Bombyx mori: one gene and its partners. The protein of the gene in region 2 purifies or fractionates together with the protein of the main gene of each other region. This does not show direct contact. Links are inferred from orthologs where the notes say so. Each region holds a gene or a part of one and is shown on either strand. Other genes may lie near its edges.

The links.
Region 1: the proteins of histone acetyltransferase KAT2A (region 2) and DNA polymerase epsilon subunit 3 purify together in Drosophila melanogaster (affinity purification with mass spectrometry; 3 studies listed by BioGRID). This does not show direct contact. The link is inferred for Bombyx mori from reciprocal best matches to the Drosophila melanogaster genes Gcn5 and Chrac-14.
Region 3: the proteins of histone acetyltransferase KAT2A (region 2) and molybdopterin synthase catalytic subunit purify together in Drosophila melanogaster (affinity purification with mass spectrometry; 3 studies listed by BioGRID, with this or other methods). This does not show direct contact. The link is inferred for Bombyx mori from reciprocal best matches to the Drosophila melanogaster genes Gcn5 and Mocs2B.

The regions. Positions count from the first base shown.
Region 1 is NC_085130.1:7,455,913-7,459,083, reverse strand, and holds DNA polymerase epsilon subunit 3, read left to right. Parts: upstream 1-1,646; 5' UTR 1,647-1,771; coding exon 1,772-2,131; 3' UTR 2,132-2,660; downstream 2,661-3,171. UniProt on the Drosophila melanogaster protein: Accessory component of the DNA polymerase epsilon complex. Participates in DNA repair and in chromosomal DNA replication. Histone-like protein which promotes nucleosome sliding of ATP-dependent nucleosome remodeling complexes.
Region 2 is NC_085120.1:4,787,429-4,791,090, reverse strand, and holds part of histone acetyltransferase KAT2A, read left to right. Parts: intron 1-1,169; coding exon 1,170-1,394; intron 1,395-2,429; coding exon 2,430-2,479; intron 2,480-3,662.
Region 3 is NC_085131.1:1,996,999-2,001,264, forward strand, and holds the start of molybdopterin synthase catalytic subunit, read right to left. Parts: upstream 2,863-4,266; 5' UTR 2,594-2,862; intron 2,523-2,593; exon of another isoform or gene 2,116-2,522; intron 1,869-2,115; 5' UTR 1,553-1,868; coding exon 1,424-1,552; intron 1-1,423. UniProt on the Drosophila melanogaster protein: Catalytic subunit of the molybdopterin synthase complex, a complex that catalyzes the conversion of precursor Z into molybdopterin.

The DNA of each region.
Region 1 (3,171 bases), on a different chromosome or scaffold from region 2:
TTGACCGAAAAACAAAGTTAGACAAAATCAGTGCACATGTCGTAGAATTGTTGTAAAAACCTTTTTCACATTTTTTGAGACACAGGTACTAGGAAATGAAAAAGCTATCTGTTTAGCATAAAGTTTCAAATTAACAGTCACCGAATCTCTATAAAACTTATTAGTAACAAAAAACATAATAGCTTAAAAAAATAGAGAATATAACACGCTATCGCGTTTTTGTTCATTTGGACATCACTATTGTCAAAACAACACTGGCATCAACATTGCACCACGAGTTTGCGCAATACCTCCAAGCGTACCTAACTCAATAAAAATGTATTTATAAATTTTATTTCAATTTTATTACGTACTTAGTAAATTCAACAATTGACCTTCCCTTTTATATGTATTCACGTCATTCATTTTTAATTTTTCATCGATTTCTGTAAAACTAGGTCATTGACCTGTTTAGTTGATTCAGTTGTCAATTTCTATCTAAAAAGTAGATACCTATTATGTTTTAAAAACGAACTAACACGGACAACGTGTCCTTTGATACGCTAATATACGCTTTCATGGTAGTCAATGTATGCCTAGTAAATCTATGGTAAGCCTACTGATATATTTTATTATATTTTCTAAATAATGTTTTTAAGCACACTGGTCACTCGTAAATCAGCTGTTTACGGGTAACATGATAACGAACGCGAAGCTTTTGTGAACTGAAGGCCATGTTATTTTTTAAAGATGAAATTTTTATTGCTGTTCCTCCCTTCAAACCGGAATGCAATAATGCTTTGTGGCAGAAATGAGCAAGTAATTTCGTTCGTTTCTCATTATATCGACATCGTGCAAATCAAATAATTCTACAAACAACACGAGTGTTCGAACCATTGCTTTTTATTTTTATCAACAATCAACAAGGTTTCAAGCGAATTAAATGGCTGATTAAAATAACAGATTATCAGATTATAATAATTTAACCAAAAAATAATAGCGAAAATAAACTTTTACATACTTTTGAGTAATTTATTTTTTGACCGTGAATTATTTTGGATAATGGTGACTGCTAAATATTTTGAGTTAATTAGACGATAAAGTCGATTTCCCACCAAAGCATACAGTTTAAGTTTATCTCATATTGTCTTGATCTTTGCTGCACTACAAGCCCTCTTCTGGTCTGCATTCGTTAAATGGACATTATGCGTCATCATCAATGCGTGCTTTCTTGCCACCAGTGAATTAAAATTATCACGCAATCCTATATTTTTGTAATATTTTTGGAAAACAGATCGCAATGTTTTTATAGCATGTAACGTGAATAAGATTTGAGGTTTTAATTTTGAAGAATAATAGAAACGTTGAATAAACAACAAATAAACACGTGATAACGCTAAATACTAATTGTGAATTCGGTAGGCTACTACACTGCAGGATCTAACTGCTGGTATTGTCCCATCGTTTTATGTAACTTCACCGGGTATCTCATACAGCATAATAATATAGTTTAAGCCACGATACCTATGAAAACTTTGAAAAAAAGGCATTGTATTCCGAGTACCTATTTTTGAGACTTTTTGTAGCACGGCGACAGGCGGCAGTTACTAACCCTTGTATCCATAGATAATACACATAGAGAGTACTATCGTAACATTCGTAACTGTGTATAATCTATAACTGTGACTGTATGCTCCAATCAATGTCAAGAAATGTCATTAGTGCTTCTGGCGGTTAAATTAATGTTTTCATTTAATTCCAGATTTTATAAATAGGAACGTTATAAACAAAAATGGCTGAAAAACTCGAAGATTTGAATTTACCACTCACAGTTGTAACTAGAATCGTAAAAGAAGCTCTTCCCAGTGGCGTATCGATATCAAAAGAGGCGCGAACTGGCCTCGCTAAGGCGGCTTCAGTTTTTGTACTTTATGTGACTTCAGCAGCTACAAATATTGTTAAGAACAAAAAAAGGAAGGCTCTCACTGGGCAGGACGTGATAGATGCTATGAAAGACATCGAATTTGATAGATTTGTGGAACCTTTAGGAGAAGCTCTGGAACATTACAAGACCATGGCTTCGGCACGAAAATCCGCTTCTATGAAGAAAAAAGATGAACAAGAAGACGCTGAGATTATAGAAGACGATTGAATACTACTGCGACTTGAGTTTAAAATGTATAGTGGCGCTTAGTGGTGTATATTCAGAAACTGTGCTGAAAAACTATATGAAATAAGTTCAAAGAACCCATGCCTGTGTTACAAAAGTGATAAATGTTTAAATGAAACAAGTTTCCCATGAACATTTACAACAGTTACCTCGCAATAATTAATCAGTTGGTAATAATGTATGAAGTGTTTTAAAATTAAATAAACTTTTATTAAAAACAAGTAAACTTCAAAAGCATCCCAAAATGAATTGTGTCCACTTACTTTTACATCAGTAAATTAACTACAATTAAAACTTAGAACTTCTCAAAATTTGTTTTTGCAATTTGCTAAAATTAAAAGTATTTTATTTGATTTATTACTGATATTTTTCTAAACTTAATTTTTACTGCCATAAAAATTACTTAATGTTAGGTTATGTATGTATGTATGTTATGTAAATGTTACAATTATTACTAGATCTGGTCACACATCCTTTTAAAACTTGTAATTATAAGAAAATTTTGTTAGAATCTGGCTTTTCTATTATTTTTCAGTATTCTAGAATAGTCTCAAGAGAAATTAAAATAATGGTTATGTTTGTGTGAAAACCTCCAATTATTTTCATTCAATATATCATACAATATTCAATGCCCTGCTTATCTATGGTGGTAGTTCTCGAAACTTGGTAGTTTGTTTTGGCTTTTGTCAAGAGTGGGACATGACAACCAATTTGAATTAAATGATACGAAATATGAATCAAATGAGTCGACTATTATCAAAGCCGGCAATGTGACTTTTGGACAATTATTGGTAAATCAGAAAAACGAATTATTGACTTTGTATTCTGTTGGCAGTCACAAAACTCTTCTGAACGACATCTTAGATAAATAACAGGTTAAGTATTAACCTTTATTTAATGCAGGTTTTGAACCGTATTCTTTGAAGGAGACGATTATATTCAAATCAATCTGTATTGACATATCAATAACATTTTTTTGTCCAAATGCACAGATTGCCACCTTTGATAATAGACGACTCAAA
Region 2 (3,662 bases):
GACCTTCTAAGATTAACAAATTCATTTCGGATATAATTATTATGAAGTATTGAGAAACTTCATGAACTCGAAAATAGCCGTGGCAGACATAATGTAGGTTGGAAAAGGAATCAGTGAATTGAAAAGCATATCTTCTAGTGAAGGAATAGAAGATTTAGGTCCTATACTAAAGTCCTCAAGATAACCTCTCGAGGCTAATGGCATAGGTAGACAAAAATAAATAAAAAAAAACATTACAAAGGTGGGACCAGGACTATTGTGTAGGATTTCAAATTAAAAAGAAACTTGCACACAATTGAAGCAATAATAGTCACATTAGAAAGAATAACAATCTTAGACTTAGTACTTCTTACAGAAATAGGAAGGTGTAACGTTAATAAATAAGATAATGCAATGGGAAAATATGCACATGGTAAAAGATGGAGGCACACAGGCACTTTTGCTTTAGATAATAAATTGACCATTCTCAATGGCTTCTATATGAAAAATCTCTGGCACAGATCTCTTCAAATGGAACATATAAAAAAGAAATTGACTTTATCTTGGCCAAAAAGCCCAAAAACCTTCAAGACGTAAACTTAAACAGAACTTTTCATTCAGATCATAAAATGCTATGCGCTCAACTTACAGGAGCACCTATAAAGAATGATAAAAAAAAAACATTGGACCGTAGACCGCCACTATGCAGAACAGAAGATATTGGACAAGTGTCTGAATTTCGAAAGACACTTTCAAGATTGCCTGAATAAGTTCCGAACAATAACATTCGGACCCTCGGTCTGCCAAACAATTTCAACCGCTACACGTTATTTATAAATTGCGCAGTAATTAAATAAAAGCTGTGTGGTGTTTTATTATAAGACTAGCTGATCCGGCAGACTTCGTAGCGTCTCAATCGATAAATAAAAGACCTAAACTTTTGTATCAAAATAAACTTATAACAAACAAAAGGAATCCGTCCGACCGGGGACACATCAATGGGAAAACAAAATTGTAATTTTTATTTAATTCCGTGCATTTTCATATTTATCTACCTTTTAAACCTTCTCTGAACTTCCACAAATAATACAAGACCAAAATTAGCCAAATCGGTCCAGCTGTTCTTGAGTTTTAGCGAGACTAACGAACAGGAATTCATTTTTATATATATAGATTAAAATATTTTTCAGATACTTCGTAAATGCATCTTAACGCGTTCCCAGCCTCGGATCGAGGGACCACTGGGACAACCTCCATTCGAAAGGCCTTCCATAGCTAAAGCAATAACAAACTTCGTTCTCTACAAGTTCAATTCATTACCACAAAGGGAATGGCAAACAATGTACGATTTGGCCAAGATGTTCCTTCACTGTTTCAATCATTGGAATTTTGAAACGCCCAGCGTCAGGAAGCTGGTGAGTTCCATAAGTCATTATGAAACAATGTTTTTATATAATTAAGTTAGATAATTACCCGTGCGTGTCATGAGGTGTTAAGATTGAAAATTGAGACTTTCTGCTGTGTCCTGAGGAATGTATGGAGATTGATGTTTCCCGCTTTCGTGGGCTTAACCCACGATATCTTAAAAGTGAGCTCTGGGTAGTGCTGAACGGATACCGAAAACATCTGTGGTAGGACTATCCCACTGGCTGGCGACTACTCTCCAACTAAAGTCCGCCGCCAAATAACCTAGTTGTATTCCGCCGTGTGGGTTGGAGAGCCAGTTCTATTCTTCTCCTTTCCTCTTCCATGTTGGGGGTAAACTGTGGTGATGCCACACCCCCGAGCTACGAGATCTGTGGACGGGGATATGGCGGAGGTATAGTGAAACGGTCACCACCGTCGCTCGCCGATCATTAGGCATGAACCTGGGTGTCACTAATGAATTCCGGCTCCGGGAAGCTGTCCTGCCAATCGGTGTAAAAAACCTGTCGTGTCTTGGTCGGAGTGAATCCCGGAGCTCGTACGCAGGGTGAATTGGGGGCCCTTCCAAGCTCAGCGTTAGCTTCTCACACAACCCACGGTCAAACGCTCGCTATGTCCCAAGCTTTATCTTGAAGCCACCTCCAACCTACTACCTCTCCCAATCCTAACTTCTATTTTAGTTATTATGTGAGTCGACTATTATCAAAGCCGGCAATGTGACTTTTGGACAATTATTGGTAAATCAGAAAAACGAATTATTCACTTTGTATTCCATTGGCAGTCACAAAACTCTTCTGAACGACATCTTAGATAAATAACAGGTTAAGTATTAACCTTTATTTAATGCAGGTTTTGAACCGTATTCTTTGGAGGAGACGATTATATTCAAATCAATCTGTATTGACATATCAATAACATTTTTTTGTCCAAATGCACAGATTGCCACCTTTGATAATAGACGACTCATGTATCTGTATCTTTTGTTAATAATAATATGAAAATAAATTAGTGAATATTTATTTCAGCAAGTTTCAAACCCTGAAGATATATCAGCCTACCAGATTAATTATACGAGGTAACTATGATCTTTTAATTAGGTCTATCAGTTTTTATGCGTTCAACCAGGATAGCTCATCTAATATTAAGTGGCTTGCCGAGTTTATGGAAAATACATTGCGAATGTTAACTATCCCAAATTCATCATATTATCTGGAAACGAGGATAATGGTACTAATAGATGGATCATGTAGGTTTACTGGTGGTAGGACCTCTTGTGAGTCCGCGCGTACCACCACCCGCCTTTTTCAGCCGTGAAGCAGTAATGCGTTTCGGTTTGAAGGGTGGGGCAGCCGTTGTAACTATACTTGAGACTTTAGAACTTATATCTCAAGGTACATTTACGTCGTAGATGTCTATGGGCTCCAGTAACCACTTAACAACCAGGTAGTCTGTGAGCTCGTTCACCCATCTAAGCTTTAAAAAAAAAACTTGCATTCCCTATAGAATTGACCAAACATCAGTGTAGGATTATCTAAATTTTTTGTAGCTTTGATTCTTTAAGAAAGTAATCCAAGCAATCTAACTGTGTAGAGCATAACTATACGTAACGTGTCGTTCGTCCGTTGCAACCACGCGATCAGTGCTTTTACGCTATCCAAGCGTCAGTCTCTGTTCTCGTCGAATAGGATCAAGAGTTCGACGTCCAACCTAACCCATAGAGTTCATAGACCATTGAGTTCACCGGATCTTCTCCCTAGTATATTCAGTCAATCACATTAATAGAGTCAGTTTTCGCACAATCGTGAACACTTGCGATTTGAAGTTCATTAATTTCCATCAAAACTAAATGACGAATCCAGAAAGAGTTTTCATATTTTAGTTCTCCTTATGATTTTATTTTAGCATCACTATTCATTAAGAAAAATACACGGATGATTTCAATGCAATCTTTTAATACAATTTTCATTAATTTCGATTGAATGTTTCAATTTGAAATTCGGTACAAACCATTTTTTATGAACTTGAGTTGGTACTGGATATATTTGATTTCAGTAAAGTCATTCATTTAGAACTAATCCGTTTTCTTTTAACAACTACAAATAGTTCAATGCTTTTAAGCTCTTCATGAACTGGTCACCGGTCATTATCCTTCCTGCAAACTAGTCCCGTAGAACCATAGACACAACTCACCGAATTTCTTGCCGGATCATCTCAGTGGCTCATAAGCCCAGTTATAGCAAACTCGCTGGAGTTGAGTT
Region 3 (4,266 bases), on a different chromosome or scaffold from region 2:
CTTTTATTGTACACGTTACGTTTTTATTACACGATGTTATTCCTTCACCGTGGAAGTCAATCGTGAACATTTGTTGAGTACGTATTTCATTAGAAAAATTGGTACCCGCCTGCGGGGTTCGAACACCGGTGCAATCGCTATATACGAATGCACCGGACGTCTTATCCTTTAGGCCACGACGACTTCAATAAATGTCGTCGGATGTTCTTTAGACGACGGTACCTTTGATTTGCCTCGTGGCCTGGGTCGGATATGTAATTTTAGGCGGTCACGATAAGGTTTATTTCTAATGAAATACGTACTTAGTACACGTTCACGAATGACTTCCACATCGTGTAATAAAAATCCGATATAATAGTAACGTGCGTAATTACTAAACAATTGAGATGTAGATGTATGTATATGGACTCCAGTAACCACTGAACAACAGGTGGGCCGTGAGCTCGTTACGAAAATATATTTTTTTTATCTCGAAACTAGGAAGAAACAACCTTCTAGTTCAAAGTGGCCCGCAGCATACCGTATGAACAGACTTAACTTGAAAACAAAGGTATAAAAATGAGTTTAAATTTTTGAAATATAATCATTGCTAACATCGGTATGACTAAACAATCTCTTGTTATTTACTGCATTTACATGAATATTTTTTACTTCACCACATTTATCTGACTTGGTTGTTGTTTACAAAAAGTGTTCAAAGAGGTCAAACTATAATATAAAATAAATCATTTCTTATCTATGGAACGTAAACAACTATATCTGTGTTGGAAATTGTAAATTTAGAAGATGCAAATAGACAAAGAGTTATGGCCATATTTTCTTTATTTATATCTTCAGCTACGCACGGACGGGTTGGTAAGCTCATGGGGTTCATCCTGAGAGAATTTGCTAACAATAGTCCTAGTAAGAGAAATCCAATCCAGCGAGAAATTAAGTTGGTTATGTATTTGGGCTAGGTTGCTCTTCAAACTCTTTTTGTCTAAGCCTCAGTTTTTTCATTGCAACAATTTCCCCACCCTTTAAACGGAAACTCATTACGGCTTCGCGGAAAATATAGGCAGGATGGTGGTACTTACCCGCGTGGGCTCAGATATGATGCCCTATCACCAATAATTACACAAAAATTATAATTATTGCGGGTTCAATTTTTATAACAAGTAATGTTATTCCTTTATTATAGAAATAATTTGTGAACATTTGTTAACCTATTTCATTAAGAAAATTGCGTCGCTTGATGTGAATGCACCGGGTGCCATATCCTGTAGATCACGAAGAATTTGCTGCCTATAGTGACATGAAATATCACTTAACACTAAAATGGTTAAAAGCCATTACCGTTTTGAACAACGGGCTTCACATACAGAATCTTAACAAAATACCTATTTTCCTAATGACTAGAAAATTTTAAATAATACAAGTTTACCTTTTTTCCTTCAAAATTGTCTCTAGTTGTGCCAATAAACAATGAAATTGCACCGCAGCTATCATCAGTTACAAGTTCACTTATTTCTTCGACTGACAGTCTATCTACTGTTAATTTTATATGGTCCATCCTGTGAAATACTATTTAACCTCCACTCAATGGTGGTATAACAGCTAAGTTGTCTTGTTCATTAATTTCTATATCTACTGTATCCTCACACACTACCTCGTTCTTAGCCAAAAGTATATTTTTCTTAATACTGTTTAAGTTATATTTATCGCATATAATATTCAACAATCTCTGATATCCCAACTTTCTTGGTAAAGTTATGGAAGTTTCTCTAACTCCCGACAATTCTTTTGATTTAGCAAAAAACAATAGCTTCACTGTTACAGTATCTTCTATATTTTCTATTTCCATAATTTACCATAGTCAATCTACCAGCCTGCAATAAAAAGATGTGTTATTATAAACCTGTTTGTAAAAAAAAGTTGCTTAAGTAAAAATAAATAAAAAACATTACAACAAAATAATCAATATAGCTACTGTCAATACTGCTTCTAAATCTGTGTAAATAGTAAACAATAATGATTAAAATACATACATGTAATTTGAATTGAAAAAAAAAACTAGAAAGTACAAAATGGTGCTGCAAAATCTAAAGAAAAATATTTAAAAAATTAAATTCTTACTTTATTTCGAATTGATCCATAAAAGACTAAATATGTTGTACTTGTTGTAGGATAATAAAAAGGTTTTTAATTTCCGTTATACACTTTCCATGTACATCAAAAGTATTTTAAAAAATTATATATCTACTGACTGCATCACCGCGGCGTTTCATTTACTTACTGACTGATTCACTCGACTTACCTACATGAATGTCGTGGATATAGTTTTTATTTTATGGGCGACTGCTTTAAACATGTTGCTGATCATTGGACCGTGTCGGAATTTCACGATCTAATTACATACACCTACTTTCATACAATAGATACCTATACTTTACACAGTATAATATTATTAGATATTTTCAAGTACGTCGTTGGTACAAATGTCATTACAGCGATCATTTAATTTAAACTGTGTGATTTTTATAACTAGGAGGTTATACCGTAACCTTGAAAATCGTAACATTTTATTTATTAAAGTAATTTTAAATATACTTACTGTATCTTCTGTCTTAAATGGTAGTAATGTAAGGGTTTTTTTTCCTCAAACTTAGATTAGAAATTTCACTTCTTTAAAATTCTTACTAACTATTAGGTGTTATAATTAAGTTAAAATTCAAATTTTAAAACTCAAAAGCAAAACAAGAGACAGCTGTTATAGTTTATGAATTAATAACTTTTTGTTTGATCCCAAAAAACAGGCAAAGGAATAGTATTTCATAGGCTTTGTTTCAAAAAGTAAATTCTTTTATCTATCTATCTCTTAGGTTTATGGCGTTTCCTTTTAGATTTCGCCAATGTCAAGTGTATATAATACTCTGCTTTCTATAGCGGGCTTCGTGAATTAAATTAAAGTAAATTCTTTTGCACGAGAAGCGTAAAGGTGTCATTACCAAGCCATACTATTACCTTTTTTAAGGTATAAAAAAGGTAATAGTTTAAAGTTTGAATGATATCAGTTTTCGTAATAGGCCAACCAGCCAAGTCCAGTGATTTTGCTCCATTTCCATCTCCTAGAATCTAGGACCTAGATAGTTGAAAAGACCATATTAGTTTAGTATATTAGTTGCAGAAATACCTAATTGGAAAAATATTACAATGGCATATCCAATTTCATTCTTGTGTTCTAGTCATAGTAGATTTACACTTTTCTTTCTTGAATCTTATCCATACAACGGTTGAATGAAAGAGATCGCTTTAGAAGACAGGACCACACCTTGTAATTAAATTTTTATAGCATATCTACTTCGCTCCCATTGTACTAAGAAAAATTACCCGTGATAAGGTGCATGCGAAAATTTAACATGAAAATTAAGAGTCAATAACAAAACTCAATTTTACATTTATAGTATTTTAAAAATATAGATATTCTTTTAGGATCTCTTTTTAGGGGTTCAAAAAAACCCTCTTTCCAAGCGAGAGTTGTTGATAAAATACTTAAAATTTAAACTTAAATTATAAATATGTCTGTTATTAACTACTATCTCTCCATCATATTAAATCATGTTTATGTTGTATTTTCATGTCTCAGGCCTATTTATAAAATATCTTATAATCCAATTAATAATCATCATATGTTCAATAGTAGTGATCCGTCTTTGCACGGGATGAATAATGATATTGTGAATTATGTAATAATGAATAAATATAATCATATAATGTATAAACTAATTATTGCTGAAAGTACATCATAATACAAGTAAAAGAAAGTACATTATTGTTTACAGTAATGGCCATAGGTAATATATTGTAATTACATCACGTGTATTATTTTTACTAAGCTTTATGTAAAAGCTTCAATATTGACAGTTCTCTTTCAAATGAGAGAAATTACACTTTCAACCCCTACTTTTTAACTCTCAAAGAAAATATTCCTAGAAGTGAAATTTTGAAAAACAGCAACAAAAGTTTACGCATAAACGATAATATGTTTATTTTTTAACAAGTAGCGGAAATACGACATTTCGTATTTTAAAATGACAGTGTCGAAATGTTGTAGCGATGGCTCTATAGGTTGACACTCTCTTATTATACATTAAGGTTAATCCTATGAGTTTAGATTTGAATTCTTTCGGTGATCATGTCTCCTGCCGTTTGACATTCTTTTTCTTCCACTTGACCATAGATAATGCTTAAACACCTTCGCAACTCGATTTAATTTTACGTCACTAT